Oryzias latipes: one gene and its partner. The protein of the gene in region 1 purifies or fractionates together with the protein of each later gene. This does not show direct contact. Links are inferred from orthologs where the notes say so. Each region holds a gene or a part of one and is shown on either strand. Other genes may lie near its edges.

Region 1 (10,383 bases):
ATAGATAGATAGATAGATAGATAGATAGATAGATAGATAGATAGATAGATAGATAGATAGATAGATAGATAGATAGAGATATATATAGATATAGATATATTTGTGAGGTGGAAAAGGATGATTCGCTGTGGCGACCCCTGACGGGAAAAGACGAAAGAGAAAGAATATATATATATATATATATATTTAAAATAATTTAAAAGATACCAAAAATAATTTAAACATTTTAAATTAATTGGATCTTTTATTACAGTCCCCCTCCAATGAGGGGCATTTTTTGGTGGCATTTTTCTTATGAAAGAGAGCAAATGTAATGAAAAAAAAATAATTTTTGCATTTTTGAGTATTTCTCCTTTTAAATCACTGTCAATAAAACCACCGCGAATGATACATTTGTAGAGAATAGACACTGTCAGTTTGTATTGCCTGTATGGCATGTAGGAGATTTTGGAAACAGAGGCTTAAGATGGACATGAAATATGGCTTTTTAAGTCACTTAGGTTATGGGATGTTGGATAAAAATGTCATAATTAAAACACCACTGGGTGAGTTTAAAAAAATTGTCATGGTGGACCTAAAATTTAATTTCGACATTAGGAGGGGACAAGGAAAAAATGGCATCATACGAGGGGCTCCAGACGGATTGTTTTTTTTTTTTAAGCACTCTTTTCTCTTAATTTTTGTAGATTTGGTCTCAAGACAAATGAAAAAACTTTATAGCATTTTGTTTGTGGACAAGTTGAAATATGATGGGTGGTACATACAATCTTCTCCAATTCTAAAATGACTTGTATAGGCCTCTCATTTGTTTTTAATTCTGGCTCTGAAAGAGTCAGTGCCTCACCAGCCACAACCTTCACTGCACGTCACTGCTCCTCCATGTGTTCCATGCATTGTAATGACATAGACAGACACTGCTCCATGTTGCGATCAGGCTGAAAACATTTGGTGGCCCCTCCCACATGTGACTGGGGCGTCACGCTTATGAACATATTTTTGGACAGGTGCTAAGGCAAGAGAAAAGTATCATAAATCTCCAGGAAATGTGGTGTAAATGGTGGTGTTTTGACCATCAAAATTTCCAGTTTCCAGAGCAGGTTGCAGGTTGACTCTCACCCGTCTATCGTTTTTATTGTTTTAAGCATCTTTTTAATGTTTTTAAATCCTGTAACATCTTTCATGTTGCTTTTACTGATCATTCTCTTGTGGTTTGGGTCTTCTATGTGAAGGATTTTTAATCAAGAAGTGCGTATTGGCATTTTATTTCGGTTTTAACGATTGATGTTGGTTTTAAGGATGTTTTGAGGTTCTTTTGGACCCATCTTAGACAAAACGTTTTAGTTCTCTTTGGCAATGGTGGTAAGAGTGAAATTAAGCTTTTGTGCCAGCAGTACACTCACATTACTGTTGATTTATTAATGACTTGGAGGCTGATATGGTGGGCTTGAAATCTTTGAGTGAGTCCACTGAAAATCAAGGATATATTGAACTCCTCAAATCGAGGAAGGGGGACTCTGGATGTTCAGGGAGGCACTGGTTCAGTCTCGGTTTCAGGATGTCTCTGAAATGGATGCTCCCTCTAGTTTATTTTTGGTCTGGAGAAGAAGCATGGACAGATGAAGGTGATGCACTCCTTATTGTGTGACACAGGAGAGGAGCTGTTTGAACTTGACCAGAGCACATTGGGCGAGCCAATGACTTGCTGTATGACGACATGCAGAAAGCATGGACGGAAAGCTGGGCTCCAAACACTGGCTGTGGACTTTTATTCCTCATTTTACACCAGTGAGTGTGATGATGATGGCAGCCTGTTGAAGGAGTTCTGCAGTGGACTGCCTCAAGTGTCTGAGGAGATGAACTCTCAGCTGGATTGGCCTCTCCTGCTTCCTGAACTGCATGCTGACCTTCAGAGCATGAAGGGCCGGAAGGCTCCTGGGATCAATGGCCTCACTGTGGAGTTTTACAAGGCTTTCTGGGACATCCTTGCTCCTGAAATCTTGGAGGTATTCAATGACTGTCTGCTCTCTGGCTCTCTGATGTCCTGTCACAGAGCTGTTGTTGCTCTCTTGTCAAAAAAAGGAAATCTCCAAGACATAAAGAACTAGCAACCCGTCTCTCTGCTGTGTGTAGACTACAAGATTTTATCCAGGGCTCTCTTCAATAGGCTGAGGGATGCTGTGGAGCAGGTTATCTACCGGGACCAGACCTACTGTGTCCAAGGTAGGCTCATGGTTGATAACGTTTTTCTAAATAGAGATGTTTAGGAAGTCTCTCAGCTTTTGGGTCTACGATCTGGTCTGATTTCACTGGACCAGGAAAAGACTTTCGACTGAACAGAGCTGTAAAGTTATTGAGAAGTTTGGGTTCAGCACTGGTTTCATTGCTAAAATTTGAGTATTTTATGCTGAGATGGAGAGTGTGCTGAAGGTAGAAGCAGTCTGTGTGCTCCTTTTAGAGTACCGTAGGTTGCGGCATACGGCAGGGCTGTGTTATATCCGGCATGCTCTACGCTCTCTCCCAGGAGCCCCTCCTCCATGAGATCTGTGCAAGTCTTGAAGGTTTGTGTTTTCCTGGTTTCAGTGGAAACATTTTTTTATCAGTTTATGCTGATGGTGTTATTGTTTTTGTGAAACATCAGGCTGATGTGAATGTACTGCTGCACACAATACCTGCTTTTTGTAAATTGTCATCTGCCAGGGTTAACTGGCACAAGCCTGAAGCCCTTGCCGTGGGAAGGTGGCAGGACGGTCTCCGGGCTCTCCCTTCAAATGTCATGTGGAAGAATGATGGTGTAAAGTGCCTGGACGTTTTTCTGGATGGTCCTGCCATGGTCAAAAAGAACTGGGAGGATGTTTTCAACAAACTGGAGGGGAAGATGCAGCTAATCAACTTCTTTTGGGACAGTCTACACTGGGCGCCACAAGGAATGTTTTTCTACCTAGGGAGAAGGGGGGACAGGGCCTAGTGCACCTGGTCAGCAGTACTGCCACCTCCAGGATCCAGGTCCTGCAAAGGTTTTTGACTGGGCCAATGAATTTGATGTGGAGGGAACTGGCTAGCTGCATATTAAAATGTGTGAGCTGTCTGAGGGTGGATGTCACTGTTTTTAATGGACACCAAGCTTTTAAATTTACGTAGGTTGCCTCCCTTTTATCAGGGTGTTTTTAAGTCTTGGCACCTTTTTAATGTTGTGAAACAAAAAAAAAAAAAAACTCTCCCTCTCTGTTTTGGCTCTTGAAGGAGCCTTTGATCTTTGGGGCGGGGTTAGACATTTGTGATGACCTGCCCGCCCCTGGACTTCAGGGTCTGGAGTTCTGACTTTGGAACAGCTAGTGACTGCAAAAGGTCACAATGCATTGCGTTTGAACAACTTCTGAAAAGCAGATGTATTTAAATGTATGTTATAAAATAAATTTTAACGTTTTCATCTTCAGAACACAGTGGATTTATAAATGGTTGTCGCAAAATGCTCATATCAATGAGATTTTCACATTGTGAAATCGATTACATCATATACGCCGTTTAAAAAAAGAGTGAGTATGGTGTCCGAATTGCTTTTAAAATCCAGGGCTCTACTTAGTCGTGCACTATATCGTTTTTTAGTAGTCAGGGATAAGGGTGGATCTGGACACAGCCACCGATTTTTGCTTCCGGAGTGGAATTCCGTCTGCTATTTATTTTTCTGCAGCTAGGTACTGGAAAATTAACAAATCTTCCACCACCACATTAATGAACTTTTTTCACCTAGACACAGGCCAATGTATTTGTTAGGTATGAAGAGATAACAGAATTACAGGGAAAATAGAACATTAGTTATTAAAGATTATCAATATCATTTTATTATAGAGGATATTCTTAACAAGTTGGTATTTTTTTATTTTTAAAAATTTCTCTATATTTTAACATATTGACGTTTTTCTCAAATTCTGGTTGCATCTCCAAAGTAAAATGAAATTGCCAATACTTGTTTTCAACAATTTGATTATACTGTTGTACGCAATGTTTGGTAATATTATATACAATACATATTTGTGCGCATAAAAGGCACAATTCCCGTTATTGTTGCTAAGACTTTTCTAAATATTTTTATATAATAATAATAACAACAACATCAACAATAATGATAATCCTGAAGTAAAAATAAAAAGATGGATTCCAAAACTTTGAAGATTTACATTTGTAAAAACGGTTTATCAATAAAGATTTTGGCGGAAAAAGTGCAACTGTCGCGTAATTACGTCATCTTTAAGCTACACAAGTGTGGCTGACAGCAAGAAGCCACACGTTTACAGGAGACTTTATTGTTGCTGGGATAAACGTCCTATCTACATTTGATCCCAGAAGATGTCTTCACTCCTCAAAGTGGACAGTGAAATTAAAACCAAGGTGATGTTTGTCTGAACGGCCCCTGCGCGTGTTATTGTGGGAATTAGCCTGCTAGCATTTTGCGGCATGTTGTGGAGTCTTTGGTTAGCTTTAGCGCTAGCTAGCAATGTCTAACCGGTATGTTTCCCGCCTGCTGCAATTTATCTGTCAAAACTTATCACAGGTGCTGCGACAGACTGGTAAAATGCTTCAAATGGGTGGAATTAAACGTCTTATTGCGTGCTTGTTATGTTTAATTGATAGTTTGAGACAGAAGACCACATGTCAGGAAGGCCTTAGCCTCCACTGTGGCTAAGCTACAACCGACCCACCGGCGTCATCATGCTACAACTTTATATCGACTCCTTGTTGCCCTGATCAGTATTTAAACTAACTTTAAAGAGCGTGTCGTTTATCAAATTTAAGCAAATGAAAAAAATGCGAACTACGGAGAGACTTATTCATTTAGAGACTCTAATAATATAATAGTTCCCTAAAGAAATAACTACAATAAGTTTAGGTTTAAAAAAAAGGTTTAGTCTGTGTTGGTGCACATGAATATAAACCTTTTATAAGTAATATTTATGGTTTATTTCTGTAGCTTTTATATGTACGTTTCTATCTATGATAGCAAGATTAAAGAAACATGTGCTTTTTAGATTATGTTAAATCTGTTTTATTTTACTGAAATATTGATTCTTTTTTCTTCTTAAAACTGCTTTGATCATATAAAAGTATGTAGTTAATCAAAAGTTGATCTTACTTGCATTCTTTAATCTTAAAAATAATAATAGTAAAATAATCTATCGTTATTTTACTGTAAATTTTATCCATAACATAATTAAACTTTGAAGAATGAAAATCGATTATGGCTGTGTTTTATTTTTTCAACTAACCTTATAGTAGAAAATAAATTCTCACTGAGAAACACATGTTCGTGGGATGTACTGATGCTGAACTTTTGTCTAAATATTTATTATTTTACAGGTTGATGCATTCAGGGAACGGATCACAGCAGAAGTGAGATTTGCATTTGGAATACTTTTTTTTCTATTTTTTTTTTATTTAAACCCCCTTTTTTAAAGAACAGTATTAGTATTAAAGTTTTTTTCTATTTGCTTCTCTCTTAGGCAGAGGATCTAGTTGCAAATTTCTTTCCAAAGAAATTACTGGAACTTGATTCTTTTCTTAAGGTATGTTTTATCCTTTGTAATCTTAGTTGTTCAGTATGAAACTTTCTTTAACTACAGTTTTGACTCTAACTACTGTTGGCACAGTAAAAAAAAAAAAAAGTGTAATCTGATTACAAAAAAAGAACAAATTTGGTTCCCCCCCCCAGGATCCAAGCATAAACATTGTTGAGCTGAAAGACATACACTCAGAGATTAACCTGACAGTACCCGACCCCATCCTAATCCCAAACCTTCACGACGGACTGGAGGCAGTGAGTTGTGGATTTTTACAGCACTTCCTTTTAACTAATTTGTGTAGAAAAACTTCTAATTTTGGGGAATCTTTTCCACAGCAAAACGCCAAAAAGAGGAAGCTTGAGGATGGGAGTGGAGAGGACAAAAGTAAGGACTGTTTTCATTTTCAAACTCATGTCAGAGTGGACTGTGTGCCTGGTAACTAACTTAACTTTCTTTTATTTCCAAGTGACCGGAACCAAAGTCTTTGTCATGCCTGGTGGAATGATGAAGAGCAATGGGAATCTTGTTGATCTCATAGAAAAGGTCAAGCCGGAGATCAGGACGCTCATAGAGAAATGTAACACAGTAAGTTGCCTTTGCATGTATTAATGTCTTAACGCTTAAATGTCTACAGGCACCTCTGCATTGGCCCTGATCTGAAGTCTTATGATAAAAAACTGGGTGAAAAAATGTTGGCAACCCACATTTTTTGTTTTTGTCTTTTCCTCTAAATTCAATCTTCAGGTCAAAATGTGGGTTCAGCTGCTCATCCCAAGGATAGAGGATGGCAACAACTTTGGAGTCTCAATTCAGGAGGAGACAGTAGCCGAACTCCGAACAGTTGAAGGAGAGGCAGCCTCTTACCTCGACCAAATATCGAGGTAAATCAAACACTTTAGAGAGCAAAATACGAACTTTGTAGCATCAGTGCTTAGTTGTTTTGGTTTTTTTGGTCATGTTTTGATTGAATATGTTCTTTTATTCTCATTTTCTAGGTACTACATAACGAGAGCAAAGCTGGTTTCAAAAATAGCAAAATATCCGCATGTGGTAAGTAAATGTCCTTCAGTAGGGATGTGGATGAAAATGGTTTGGTATTTTGTTCCTGTTGCTGTAAAAAAATGGATGCTTTTAGAAGCATTTCAAAATAGTCATTGGAAAGCTAGGGATTAATAATTAATTTCTGTAACTAGCTGTTTAAAAAAAATATTGATTTGGAAAAACACCCTTCACTAAAAACTGAACATGTTCCTGTAATTTTTTTGAGCAATTTGTTACAAGCTACTTATTAAGAATGTATCAGGAGTTTTGCACTGAAGCTCAGAGGAAGATAGGGTTATTGATAAAAAAACAAACAGATTTGCACCGCACAGATCAGTAGTTTCTAAATAACAGAAATGCATAATTGAGAAAAGTAGTGATGGAGTGAGGAAGTTCTGGTGCTCCTTTTTAACTAAATAGAAAAAAATTAAAATGCTTTTAAAAGTTACAATGAGGATATCTGGTGGCCAAACCTAGGTACTGCATTAAGTCTGAGCCACACAGAACATTTTTGATTCCATTTCCCATTAGCAACAAAATTGAACAAAACTTCCTATTGATTCATTTGTGTTTGTTAATTAGTTATCAGTTAGTTATTTGTTAGTTTGTGACTGTAAAGCGCTTTGGGCCTTCGAAGAAGGTAGAAAAGCACTATATAAGTATACGCCATTTACCATTATTTAGCTAAATAAATAAACACTTGTTGCTAGGGACCTGAAGCCTGTTGGCAGAGCAAAATTCAAGCTTAAAAGCAGTTAAAAGCAGTGGAATACATACTGCTAAAAAATACTCATTAAAAAGCAATAGATGGATTAGTTGCATTCCATAAATCTCGACTAAAAAACAAGGTCTAGCTGTAACAAAGTTGTGATTTGATTTATTGGGGTGAACTGTAAAAGTCAGTCTGCAGAGCGGCAGTAATTCCCCTCTGAGTTGTAGGTGGGACTTTTGGCACTGAGTAAGTACGCCCGCACTTCCCGTCACCTATCTGTTTACATACCCTCCTGCTAGTTTACAGCCCCTCACGCCCCCCAACCTAACATTACCCATGCAACAAAGATGACGAGCAGTATTGGAGCTATCCAGCCGCACAGTTTTGAGCTGGATGCCGGCTCGCACGAGGAAAATCAAAGATGTAGATGGATCTAGTCGTCTACAATTAATCAGAATGGGGCAGAGCAGAGAGGTTGTGGCCTGCCCAACGTATCTTCTAAGTCACACCTACAAGCTTTCTCCAACGGCTTCTGTTTTACAACAATTTGAAACAAGAAACACTCAGTAAGGAAATTTTAATCTTGATATTTTTTATTAATGGCCTCCATCAGAAAAATGGCACAAGAACATGTTAAAAACACCAAAAACTTCTACATAAATGCATCACTTTCACGATTACAAGGATATTTTTACAGTTTAGCATCACTTCAAAGTCAAATATCCTTAACTCCTTGTTGTTTCCACTTGCAGTTGAAACCAGATTAACCAGTTATTTAATATAAATTACTTCTGTCATTTTATCTTTCCTCTTTACAAACCAGGAGGACTATCGGCGCACGGTAACAGAAATTGACGAGAAGGAGTACATCAGTCTGAAAATCATCGTATCAGAGCTCAGAAATCAATACGTATGTTGCCGCCTGGGTAAAACTTTCCACTCAGCTCTGATGCTAAAATAATCCACATTTGTTTCTCCATCCAGGTAACGTTGCACGACATGATCCTGAAGAATATTGAGAAGATCAAGAGGCCAAGAAGCAGTAACTCAGACGCATTGTACTGATGGAGATCGCCGCCCCGTCCTTTCAGTCTCGTGTTATGCCTGATGTTGAACTACAGTAGCCTGGCTTTTTTTTCTCAAAGTTCAAGACATTCATCGTGTTCAATACAATCAGATGTTCAGTATGTAAACAAAGCTACATTTTTGTTCTAATTGTAAAATATTTTGTTGTTTTAAACCGTTCAAAGACTTAAATATCCTCCAAGGTAATGGATCATAAAGCGCTATGTATTTTTTAATTTTAATTAAATTTCTCGTCCTCAGACTGTTATAGTGCCTCTGTTTGTCATATTTGTTCTATGTCTCAACAGCAAATTCATTTTGTCTTGTGTCCAGCCTCTGGTGTTTTACGAGGAACTGCAACACAAAGTGGGTCTGGAGTTTTAGAGTTTAGAGCACTCGTTAGGCTTATCAGATTGAGGCTTTTTAGTGGAAATGTCTGCCACCAAAGCATCGCATTGTTGGCACAGTGCTGAATAAAATCCTTCTTCGTATGGTCCTGAATTTTTTATTTTGTTTAAAAAGATTTTCCATCCAAGTAAGACCTGATCAAATCCTTAAAATGATCGACAACCATGGAGGAGTGACAACAGTGCCTCGTGTTTCGGGAATTACTTTAAAAAATCTGACCAATTCCAGCAGATCCATAAATCACTTTGTGGATTTCTTCTGGGGGCTTGTCCAGGAAGAAGTCCATCCTTGCCCTGAAGTTAAACTTTAGGAATCTCCGTAACACTGCAAAGGACAAATCAAGAACAGAATATAGTTTCATGTGCTAAAATTATTTTTCCCATTTTAATAATGCTTACATTTGCAGCATTTTTTAAGTAATTTGTTGGCTCTTTATTAAACGTTGTCCTTCAGAACCCCAGCTTGGCAGCGGATCTGAAGCATAATGCCTAGTAAAGACTCGATCATTGTTACGACACATCCAAAACATTTTCTTTAGCTTATTACGTATTTATTAACATTTGACCCAATTGATGACACAAAAATTGTACTATGTAAATATGTACATATAGTTAGTTTAATCAAGTTATTGTGTTTTATTTCAAAGGAATTGAAATGACTTGAGGATAAAAATATTGACTTTTTGTAGGTGCAGGTTTGTTTTGAACTTTGGGTGAAAATTATTTAATTTTTTTTTAATCCAATGTTCATTTGTAATTATGAAGTTGTTTTTATACAAACTTCATAAGTTAAAGGAAAAAAAGCCAATTTATAAAGCCATTTATAAATTTCTGTTTCTATTTTTTATCTTTACTTTTTAGGTTGTTAGTGTGGTACTGGGTGATAAAATAAAAATTGAAGCTTAATTTGTTCTTTATTATATCAATAGGAATTATCTATTAGGGTTTGTATTCTTACATACTCTCATGATTGCTAATTTTTAGCTCATAAATACACTATTCGCTTATTGCAAATTTATTAAATTTAGCTTTTCTTTTTTACTTACAGAAAGCCCTTTAAATTGTTGCTGATAAAAAAATCAATTCTTACTGTATATACTGTAGTAAGGTTAATGTGAAAGGAAGTCTTTAGCCTGCTTAACCGCGTACTAGTGGCCTTGTCATTATATGGTACATTATATGGATTTTAATAGTTTCATTTTTACTGAATTTCTCCAATTACACAGAACTAATCTATGTTTATGTGTTTCTAAAGCATGCTTTTATTCACAAACCCGTTCACTGGGTTTTTCTGTTTTGTCCAGCAGGTGGCGCTCTTAAGCTTCAGTTGATGTAGTCATTTTGTTGTTGATTTATTTTCTGCAGGAGAATTTCCATCTCAATGGGAATTCTCTCCATTGCTGCTCAGTGTTTGATCAGCGTAAAAGCCTTATTATGAAAGTTAATTAACCCTTGTGCTATCCTAGGCACTTTAACATTGGGAGTTGGGTCATCTAGACCCACTAAAAAGTGCGTTGAACCTTTTTTCTTCAATGATTTGTGATCTTCACTGGTGTCCATGGATTACATGAAATCCTCTCCACCTTTATCCACCTTTGTATGT
Region 2 (10,497 bases), on another chromosome or scaffold:
TGCTTTCATCAACACCAGGGAAGTGACGGACGGAAGTGAACTACATCTCTGCAGGACTCTTCTGACGTAAGAGTTTGGCTTTTAGCCGTCAAATGTTCCCTGTTCGGACTCCTGGAACCTCTTCATTTCCTTTGCTGGCTGCACGGTTGCAGTTAACCTCTGACCTGGAATGTAAAAAAAACAGCTGCCAGACGAATGCAAACCTTGGCAAAGATGCCACCTTCCCCAAACATGAGCCCACCCGTGTAAATAAAAACAAAAAAAAAGGCATATTAGCAATGAAGGATTTAGTGCAACATGTGTCTGCATGCATGAAGGATGTGTGGCTGTGGGGGGGGGATTCTGTGCACTAAAAGCACATTTGAAGGCACTCCTCCAAGTCCAGCTTTAATCCTCCAAGTTTGGGCTCACAATGTGGCTTGGACGCATCATGCAGTGACTCAGGCTGCCCTCCATTTGAAAAATTAAATGGTTGGGTGGGGGGGGGGGCTCTTTGGCAGAGTTTAATAAGGGGAAAAAAACCTGCTGAGCTCAGCACAGCCTCTACAATCTTAATCACAGAGGAGGAGGCTGCTGGAGCGTTGATGTAATGGTTGCCGTCGTGCTGCTGCTGCTGCCGCCGCTGCTGCCTTGGCAGAGGAGCGGATCTCGTCAGCACAGTCTCACTAATTCACCCCTCCTCTTTTCCACGTTCCCCCCCTCCTGGATCAAAGATACATCAGATATCATCAACGGAGTGTGGAGGGGCAGAGGCACTGTCTATGGAAAACAACAGAAACAGAAAAAGAGGATCAAAAGTGGAGCCTAATAAGAGGGATCGCCGAAAGCTGGAAGTCCCCGCCTGAAATGTCCCGTTCCCCTCCCCACGCGTGTCCGTCATGTGTCCATGGTTGAAACTTTGTCAGCATTAAGATCCTGACATCAGAATAAATCAGAACACGGTTCATGGAAAAGATTCGATTTTTTTTTCTTTATTTCAAGCATTAATTGTAGTCAATACATTTTAAAAAATCACACATATTTATCAAACTCCTGACAGAAATGATGAAAAGCATAGATGAAAAAGGAAGAAAGACAAAGACACACTTAAGTCACATTTTCTTAATTAAATATAGTGATCATTAACTAAATTCAAGCAGAGCTTGATTTATTGAATGCTTGAAAAAGAGTTGGAAGAAGCAAGTTTATATAATCCCACCCCGACTGAGTTCATTCATTTTGTAGTTTTACATAGTTTTTGAGGAAGTAAAGAAAAGAAGAATGACGCCGTATGTGGCTCATCTATTGACCCCCCTCATTTGGCATCACCTTGAATGAGAAAAAAACTGAAGAGCGTTTTCACTTAACTTTCAATTAATCCAGCCATCAACTTTGATGCTTGAGGATGCTGTGTTATTGCCATAACATTACTTTTCTCAATTTAAATAATGACATTATTTTAGAAAACTTGTAATAGTTAAAGAGAAAATCAGTCAACTTTAAAAGTCTCTTGAGCAGCTCCTCAGGGATTCTTGATAAAGTGGCATCAGTGGAAATGTGGCTGAGGAGAAACCAGACAAACAGACACACAGCTCATGTTTCAAACATGTCACACTCTACGACAGGCAGAGTTGATTCTAAATTACTAACTGAAGCTCTCCTTTAATCAGCATTTAAATAATGTATTGATATTTTTGTTTTCTTTTAAACTGGCTTTATTCAAACAAGAAAAGCCTCTCATCAGGTTAACTTGATCTCTCTGAAAGCGCAGACAAAAGCACAATAAGGTGCAGTTTACCTTTTTATGGCTAAACCGGATTTATCTGAGCTGACAAGACAAGCAACATAAATGCAAACACACAATATGTTTGCAGAAAAACAACTTGAAGCACAAAACCGTGCCATTTCTTGTGACTGAATGATGACACAGATTTTTCATGCCTTTGTCAACATTTTTTATTTTCTAGGTCATTTTCTAAAACAATGTGAAAATTACTGGAGATTAAAAACTGATAAATGCACCTGAAACTCAAAGTGTAGATCAGATGGTAGTTTGTGACTAAATCTTTACATTTTTCCCAAAAAAAAATGCAGGGAGCATGCAAACAACACCTCCAATTGACTGCTGCCATCTAGTGGTCATCTGAAGACACTACCATAGTTGAGCCAAAGGAAACAACGACTGAAGTAAAAGAAAAATATAAAAAAGAATGTTCAAACTTAAGTAATGTAGAATTTTTTTTATCCTCAGAGTAATTCTTACTCCTTAAGATGTAACTGTGTTTTTTAGCCTATCCAAACACAGATTTGTTTTTGCACAAATCTAAATGTGCTAAAGGATTATAGTTTCTTTCAACAAACTGCATGAACGCACTTGAGAAATTCCTCCATTATTTGTTACTTTAGGAAAATACTTATTTACAATGGAAGTGTAAAGACAGCAGGAAAATGGAAAAGGGGTGGGCTTTAATAAACTCATGCCCACATTTTGTTAGAAATATTTTCATTCTTTCGTTTTTATTGTTATGATGTCATTTAATGTTTTTATTTATTTATTTATTTATTTTTTATTATTTAAACAGTATTTCCTTGCTGGAATTGTATCTGCATGTTAGAAGATAAAATCAATAAATTAATCCCCCCAAAAAGTTGTTACCACAATACAAACTTGAATGAAGAAACAGTCAACCCTGACGTTGGAATTAATAACATTGTTTTGTTTTGTTTTGCTTCAATACTCTTTATTTAGGATTCTTTTTACCAAGAAATGTTGATGCAACCTCTTTCTCCATTTCTCGGCTTTCCTTCTTCAAATTCATGTGTAAAGAAACCGCAGCGGGGTAAACGGTGACTATAACACAAATATGACAAATGCTGCTGCTGTTGTTCGCCTGTCAGCACATCCCTTCAGGGGTCACCTCAGAGATCAGCTTTCAAATAAATAAATAGACTACAGGGATGATGTGGAAATGATGTGAATTTAACCTGTCTGCTCTGAAAGCTCGTTAAGTAATTGAACACAAACTTCCTACAAAATCACCAGAGGGTGAAATATTCAGACTGAAAACAATATAAAATCATGCAAAACTTTATTATTTATTTGCAGATTTTTGCAGGTTTGCTGCACTGTTTTTTATCTTTGTTTTAGTTGATTAAAGTTTTAGAACAATAAAACTACTAACAGTTTTCTTCATGTCCAGATACAACTGTCATTAAATCAGTGTCTTTAGCACAATCACATCTCAACCATGTGGTCCAGATAGTAAATTATGAAATACCACCATTGCAGAATAAGATGCCGAAATCAATCTTTGGTTTGAAGCATGTGCAGTGACATTTGGATTTTCTTTTCCTTTGGTAAAGACATGCATGTTTCACGCTTAACCTAGTACTGTTGCACAACTAGACATGCTTGTTTTAAAAATATTAAACATCAAAATTGATAGAAAAACATTTACTCTTTAGATACTATTTGACCATAAAGACTTTTATAGAATTTGTTTCTTGTGAAATTATTGTTTATTGTTTTTAAAGTGATGGTTTTTGTACCCCAAAAAATGTTTAAAAGGAAAAAAAAGGGAAAAAATAAGGAAAAGAATTATTAATATTAAGTATTTCAGTGGGGGTTCAGTGTCTTGCCCAAGTATTAAGCATCTTACACAATATTTTAAATAATATGGTTTTTAATTAGTCTATTAACTGGTATGGACGCCATTAGGTTAGTAACGTTTTTTTATATTTTTAAAGTTTAGAAGAATTGTCTAACTAGTATTTTAATTCTGACGTATTACTTGTGTTTTGTTTATTATGTTGACATTTAAACCACGAGTCTGTTTGTTTGTGTTTTAATCCTATTCTATTCTATTCTATTCTATTCTATTCTATTCTATTTTATTCTGCTCTATTCTATAGCTCTGCTGGTTCTGTTCGGCTCTTCAAAGGCATCGATCATTGAAATCATCGATCGTTTGAAATCGGCTTTCTGCTGCTTTTCCCTGCCGTCTGCCGAGGAACCCAGGAAACTAAATCGAGATCCCGGCGCAGGCGGAGGAAGCGAGACTTTAGCAGAGATGGTAAGTGTGAGGGAAATTTAACGACAAATCCTCCGTTCGGTACCAGAAAACGTTTCTAGGAATGTAAGAAAACGCATTCGATCCTAAACTGTTACTTTTTAAGCCTCAAGAAATTGTTAAAATATTTCCATGCTAAAGTTAGCTTAGCTAAGTTGGTCTGCACTGTGAGTAAGCAAAACAGCCGCTAACATTAGCTTTAAGTATTAGCTCACTCTAAACAATAGAAGTTAGTTAAGTACTTTAAACTGTTAAAGTAAAACAGGTTTAATAGTGAGAAAACATTGCAAATAGCAGATTAGAAATGTAATATTTTTGGAATACCTTGTTGCGAACAAGCTAATCCTAACAGCTAGCTAAAAGTTAGCATCGGGAGTCCAGTCATGTCTTCACTTTCGTTTTTCTTCAGCTCTTCGCTTTCTTCTAGATTTAAAAACACAACGTAGTCCGTCAGTTATGGAGTTACAGCCATTGGGATCATTTCACGTATCATGATGATGATATTCATATTAAATCATTTGATTTTATTACAGATAATAAGAACCGAACTAAATTAGTAGAAGCAGCAGGTAGCTAGCTGGTTTGCTGCATCCACTGCTGGATTCAATCGTTTTTCTTGAGGATGACACGAACAGGTTGATTAATTATTCAGTCTGTAGTAATTGAAACGCGTCCTTCCAATCCTTATGAGACGTTCTGACCGCGAACACGGTGCAGTTGGTTTGGAGTCTAGAGACGAGAACACTAACCGTACTAATGCAGGACAACTATGTAAGCCTGGCTGTAGATCATGAGAAGGATGCTGTGTTATTATCATAACGCGCGTTTGTGTTCCCTCCTAGTTCCGCAATCAGTACGACAACGACGTAACGGTATGGAGTCCTCAGGTAAGCTGCCCTTTACTTACTGGAGCGTGTGTTGTTGTTTGTGTGTTGGTTTTGTCCGGCTGTGTGTAGTTTGACTGTTTGGTTTGTCGGTGCAAACGCAGGGCCGCATTCATCAGATCGAATATGCCATGGAGGCTGTGAAACAAGGTTCTGCAACCGTCGGACTGAAGTCCAGAACTCACGCGGTCCTGGTTGCACTTAAGGTAACGTCACTCAACACGACTAGAACTGCTGCCAGCCTCCATTACGCTGAAACGGCTCTTTTCACGTGCTCAACTCTCCTTTAGTGTTATTTGAGCCTTAACCTCCATGACAGTGTTTGGTTACACCCATTAATATTCATACTAGCCGGCACTTTCCTGTCTTTCTTATTAATTAAAACATGTCGTTAAAGATCTGTAACACACCACACATTACTGTTGTGCCTTTTTGGTCTGCAGAGAGCCCAGTCTGAGCTGGCTGCCCACCAGAAGAAGATCCTTCATGTTGATAACCACATTGGCATCTCCATTGCTGGACTGACGGCGGACGCTCGGCTGCTCTGGTGAGTTGCAGCGACTTCCATGGACCTGAACATTTTTTCCATGTTTTCTTGTGTTAAACTTCTTGTGTTTGGGGAGAAATGTCACTTTTCATGGGTGTCAACTGTACATCTAAACACTAACATTGGTTAATTTATGGCGTTACACAGATGACAAACAGATATAGAAATCACAGGAGAGCAAGGCCCTCTACAAGCTCTTGGTAAAAGTATTTAATATATGAAAGACTGGATGTGCCTCAATTACTTCAGCTGAACAAACACAAAACTGAGGTTATTGCCTTGGCTGATGTTATTCGCATGTATTTACTTGCAACCAGCACAAAAACTGCAGCCAAGATGCGCATTGCCTGCACGCATTTTAAGTGCATCCATTTTTACATTTTGTCGTATTTAAAATGAAAGTTAAAGCTACGCTCCTGGATTGGTGAACAGTGTTCTCTGCGTTTGATCCATCCACTGGAGAAGCGATGAGCTGCAGAAACACATATTTGGAAAATGATGAATAGACACTTTTTGTTGTGTTTGGGGCTAAAGAGAAGTGGTTTGATGTCATATAGAGCTTCAATCTATTCATCTAAAAACCACCAACTAGGCCAGAAACATGGGTGTAGTCATGGATACAGTCCTATGTTTTGATAAATGCATTAAGGCAGTCACCAAATCTGCAGACTAACATCTTAAAAATAGTTCAAGTATTAAAGATCGGATGTCTTGAACAGAGCTTGGAGAAACTAGTTGATGCATTCACGTTTAGTGGACTTGATGACTGTGACAGTGTTTTTACAGGACTAGCAGAAAAACCAATCAGGAAACTGCCTGTAGAGCCGATGAGAGCCCAGTTCACTTTTCTCCTCTCTAATAATGAGAAACAACCAACAGGCAGCTCTCATTCTCTGCCCGGACTACAGAATCCGGAAACAAACAAACGTTGCAGTATGGAGCTCTGTTCTGTAACGATGAAGAAGCAGCTGAATGTTTGCTGTTGGCCTCATCATTAGCAGCATCTACAGTCAAGTGCTGAGCACGAACCTGAGAACGGCCTTTTGTCTGAAGACCAAAACCTTTTCTGTCTTGCAGTAACTTCATGCGTCAGGAGTGCTTGGACTCCAGATTTGTCTTCGACAGGCCTCTCCCCACATCCCGCCTCGTGTCTTTAATCGGCAGCAGTATCCTCTAAAAATACACTCTCCTGTTCAAGGAGCTACGTTACAAGAAACAAGAAAAAGCTGAGTTTGTAAAACTAAGTTGGACAACCAGGAGTTGGGTCTTTTCTGTTAGATTGCTTCCAGAAATGGAAACGGCAGCAGTGATCCTTGACTGAGTTTACAGAAACCCAAATCCCAACACAGAGGTATGGAAGGAGGCCCTACGGAGTGGGACTCCTCATTGCTGGCTATGATGTGAGTACGCTCATGGTTTTAATCTTATTTCTCTCTACATTCAGACAAAAAAAAACCTAAAGCTAACCGTTTTTTCTTTTCTGACTCAGGACATGGGACCTCACATCTTCCAGACCTGTCCATCAGCAAATTACTTTGACTGCAAAGCCATGTCCATCGGAGCGCGCTCCCAGTCTGCACGCACGTACCTGGAGAGGTGCATGGACAAGTTTTCTGACTGTAGGTTTGAGTTTGGAGTTCTCTCCTTCAGCATGTTCAGATGCAACACCTAAAGAACGTCTGTAGTTTCTGATGATTCCTATTTAAAACAATCCTTCAATGAAAAGATTAGTCTGAAATGAAACTGATGAATGTTTTTCTGTCGTCAGGTAATCTGAACGACCTGGTCCAACATGGCCTCCGCGCCCTCAGAGAAACTCTTCCAGCTGAGCAGGACCTGACCACCAAGGTACGCAGCCCCAAGGCCCCCTTATCAGTGTCACAGAGCATTTATGCATGTTCTGAACCTGAGACTCCCTTTCAGAATGTTTCCATTGGCATTGTGGGAAAAGAAATGGAGTTCACCATCTATGATGACGATGATGTTGCTCCGTTCCTGGTTGGACTGGAGGAGAGGCCACAGAGAAAGGTGCAACAGAGAACTTCTTATCACCACCATCAACATCTACTATTTGTTTACGCATCTTAAGCTACGTTCACACCAAACACCATTCTTGCATCAGGAGCGTCCACTTTCAGAGTGGTCAGTGTGCCTTTTGAGCACGTCAGCCAATCAGGGACTCCGCTTTAGCCTGCATGGTGTTGATGAAGATGCAGTCCAAAACCAACATGGACGAGAATCTGATCATTTTCATCCTGAACGTTTTTTATTTTGTACCCCCTCGGACTAAAGCGAGACAGCAAGTCGTCAAACTGGGTCACAGAGAAGCGCTGAGATCGTCTGTCCTTCAGATTAGATGGTGGAAGAGTCTCTGAATGAACCCAAAACATGGAGACGGGATCACAGACACTCTTTAAAAGGAATCGACCTGATCTCTCAACATCAGCCGTGTCTTCCACTGTAAATGAGATATTCTGTCAATGCTTCCAGGCTGGAAGTTGCACACAGTAGCTCCTCCCACACCACACGCTGCAGGAACATCTAGTTTATAAATGGCTTTTTGGCAGTCAAGCAGCACATTTGCTTAGGGAATCGAGCTCAATGCAAACACAGGTGACCATGTAACACATTTCTGTTTGTGTTCCAGGCTGTCCAGCCTGCTGATGATCCTCCTGCTGGAGACGCTCCCGATGAGCCAATGGAGCACTGAGGCAGGAACTCGACCCCACATCCGCATCCTGTCCATCCCGAACCCACTGAGACTTGCTGCAGCACAGAGAATTTCCTCTAGAGGGAAGCTGTCCTAATGTGCCACTGTTTCTCCACAATAGTCTCTACTGACATCAACATGTGATGTTTCTTTTGTATGGGTCAAAGTTCACCATCATACAAGTAATAAATTGTCTTTTTTGAGTTTTGTGTGCACTCCTTTCTAGAATACAAACACACGGGTTTAAGGATGTTTTAGGAAAAGTAAATGGAAATTAAAGCCGTGAGCAGCATAGTGAGGCCCGCAGGCACGACCCACCGTCTTCACTGCCACCCCGCATGGAGAAATTACTGAAAAAACACTTCTTCTTTTTTTCAAAAATAGTGACTTCTCTGTCAGTATTTTACCATAGCAAGCGTTTTAGTTTTTGGTCTCCTGACAAACAGATCTATTTAATTTTGAGAAGATATGTTATAGAAAGATAGTTTAAAGCAGATCCCTTATTTTGATGTAATTATAGTTTGAGAAAACGGTATTTCTAAAGCAGAAATCGTTCAAATAAATGAGGTACTTTCATAGAATATCATAGTTACTGGTGTTCTTTTTGCCATTTGGGGGTTTTGATGTTACTATATTTTAGCAATTGTATGTTTTGCAGCTTTAAGGAAAAGCGTAGATTGTAGGATTGTGTTACTTTTAGCAATTATCCAAATTCTTTTTTAGGACCAGGAAGTCCTTAATGGCAAGTCAAACTAGGGGTTTGAATGACAAATCATGAAGCTCCAATTAGTCTTAGTTTCTTGATTAAGAAGTGAAGAACTAGCTGCCAGAATGTACCAGAATTCATCTAAGACCATGTATTTTTCAAAAATTTCGCTCCGCACCCGCCATATCGCTCAAAGAAAAGTTCAGGGATTTTTTCCATTGCCTCACTTTCATCACTGGAAGAATCTACAAAAGTAAATTTTGGGATTGTCGTGGGAACAAATATTTTTTGTTAACCACGCCCACATTCCTATTATGTTCATATTGTATATATTATAATGCTACTTGACTCCTGAAGTGGTCGAAAAATTTATTACATCTGTTCGCTCCAACTCTCCACCTGTCTTACCGGCCCCCTGTGATCTACTTGTTGAAAGTTTTAACAGTAAATTAAAATCCAGTCTCGACTCAGTTGCTCCTCTAAAATCTAAGAATCAAACCCACGCACCCTTGGAGAAATGAGGAAATTAAACAATTGAAGAGACGTTGAAGATCTGTCGAAAGACTTTGGAGAAAACACAAACTTGAAATAAACTATCAATTATACCAAAACCAACTAAAACTATATAATCAAACAGTAAAACAGAACAGAAATTCATATTTTGCGAACATCATTTCTGTAAATAAAAATAACCCCAGAGTCCTCTTCACCACAATTGAATCTTTAATTAACTCAAATGTGAACAAAAACACAATGCCAGCCTCCGCCTCATTGTGTGAGGACTTTGCAGACCACTTCAGGAGCAAGATTGATTCTGTCAGAGTGAACATCATAAAAGGACAGAAAAGCCTTTTTATTGGAAATGTTGGCTTGATTTTACCTGAGGAAGCACTGGACAGTTTTGACCTGGTTGAAGCTCAACTCAACTCAACTCAACTTTATTTATAAAGCACTTTAAACAGAACAAGGTTCACCAAAGTGCTGTAATACTTGGTCGAGTTTTCTCCCAAGCTAATCCAACAACTTGTTTTTTAGACCCCATCCCTACATCACTTTTAAATCATTTTATGGGTCTTTTGAGAGTGAGATTTTAAATATCATGAACTCCTCTCTACAGACGGGTATTTTTCCTGCTGCCTTTAAAACGGCAGTGGTGAAACCGTTACTCAAAAAAACTAATTTAGACCCTTCCGTTTTTAATAACTACAGACCTGTGTCCAACTTGCCATTTTTAAGTAAGGTTTTAGAAAAACTCGTTTTTATTCAGCTAAACGAGTTTCTCTTACAAAACAACATTTTTGAGATAAACCAGTCTGGCTTTAGAACGAACCACAGCACAGAGACAGCCTTGTTAAAAATTGTTAATGATCTTAGGTGTGCCTTGGATTTAGGTCAGATCTCAGTACTAGTTCTGTTAGATCTAAGTGCAGCATTTGATACTGTTGATCACCTGATCCTTGTAAACAGACTTAAAAGTCTTGGCCTTTCAGGGACTGTTCTCAAGTGGTTCGAGTCGTATCTCATGGAGAGAAGCTTTATGGTAAGCATGGACACATATTTTTCTGGGGTCCATGAAATTAATTGTGGGGTGCCTCAAGGTT

What was found. Proteins that work in one complex are often made in the same cells at the same time.
Region 2: the proteins of psme3 (region 1) and psma1 purify together in Homo sapiens (affinity purification with mass spectrometry; 5 studies listed by BioGRID and IntAct, with this or other methods). This does not show direct contact. The link is inferred for Oryzias latipes from reciprocal best matches to the Homo sapiens genes PSME3 and PSMA1.

What each region holds. Positions count from the first base shown.
Region 1 is NC_019877.2:17,754,417-17,764,799, reverse strand, and holds psme3 (proteasome activator complex subunit 3), read left to right. Parts: upstream 1-4,225; 5' UTR 4,226-4,344; coding exon 4,345-4,386; intron 4,387-5,352; coding exon 5,353-5,385; intron 5,386-5,495; coding exon 5,496-5,558; intron 5,559-5,704; coding exon 5,705-5,809; intron 5,810-5,890; coding exon 5,891-5,939; intron 5,940-6,021; coding exon 6,022-6,140; intron 6,141-6,299; coding exon 6,300-6,436; intron 6,437-6,550; coding exon 6,551-6,605; intron 6,606-8,131; coding exon 8,132-8,218; intron 8,219-8,292; coding exon 8,293-8,373; 3' UTR 8,374-8,869; downstream 8,870-10,383. UniProt on the Homo sapiens protein: Subunit of the 11S REG-gamma (also called PA28-gamma) proteasome regulator, a doughnut-shaped homoheptamer which associates with the proteasome. 11S REG-gamma activates the trypsin-like catalytic subunit of the proteasome but inhibits the chymotrypsin-like and postglutamyl-preferring (PGPH) subunits.
Region 2 is NC_019864.2:7,541,294-7,551,790, reverse strand, and holds psma1 (proteasome subunit alpha type-1), read left to right. Parts: upstream 1-3,877; 5' UTR 3,878-4,049; coding exon 4,050-4,052; intron 4,053-4,891; coding exon 4,892-4,936; intron 4,937-5,037; coding exon 5,038-5,139; intron 5,140-5,376; coding exon 5,377-5,480; intron 5,481-6,557; coding exon 6,558-6,646; intron 6,647-6,809; coding exon 6,810-6,880; intron 6,881-6,969; coding exon 6,970-7,099; intron 7,100-7,248; coding exon 7,249-7,328; intron 7,329-7,403; coding exon 7,404-7,508; intron 7,509-8,127; coding exon 8,128-8,190; 3' UTR 8,191-8,393; downstream 8,394-10,497. UniProt on the Homo sapiens protein: Component of the 20S core proteasome complex involved in the proteolytic degradation of most intracellular proteins. This complex plays numerous essential roles within the cell by associating with different regulatory particles.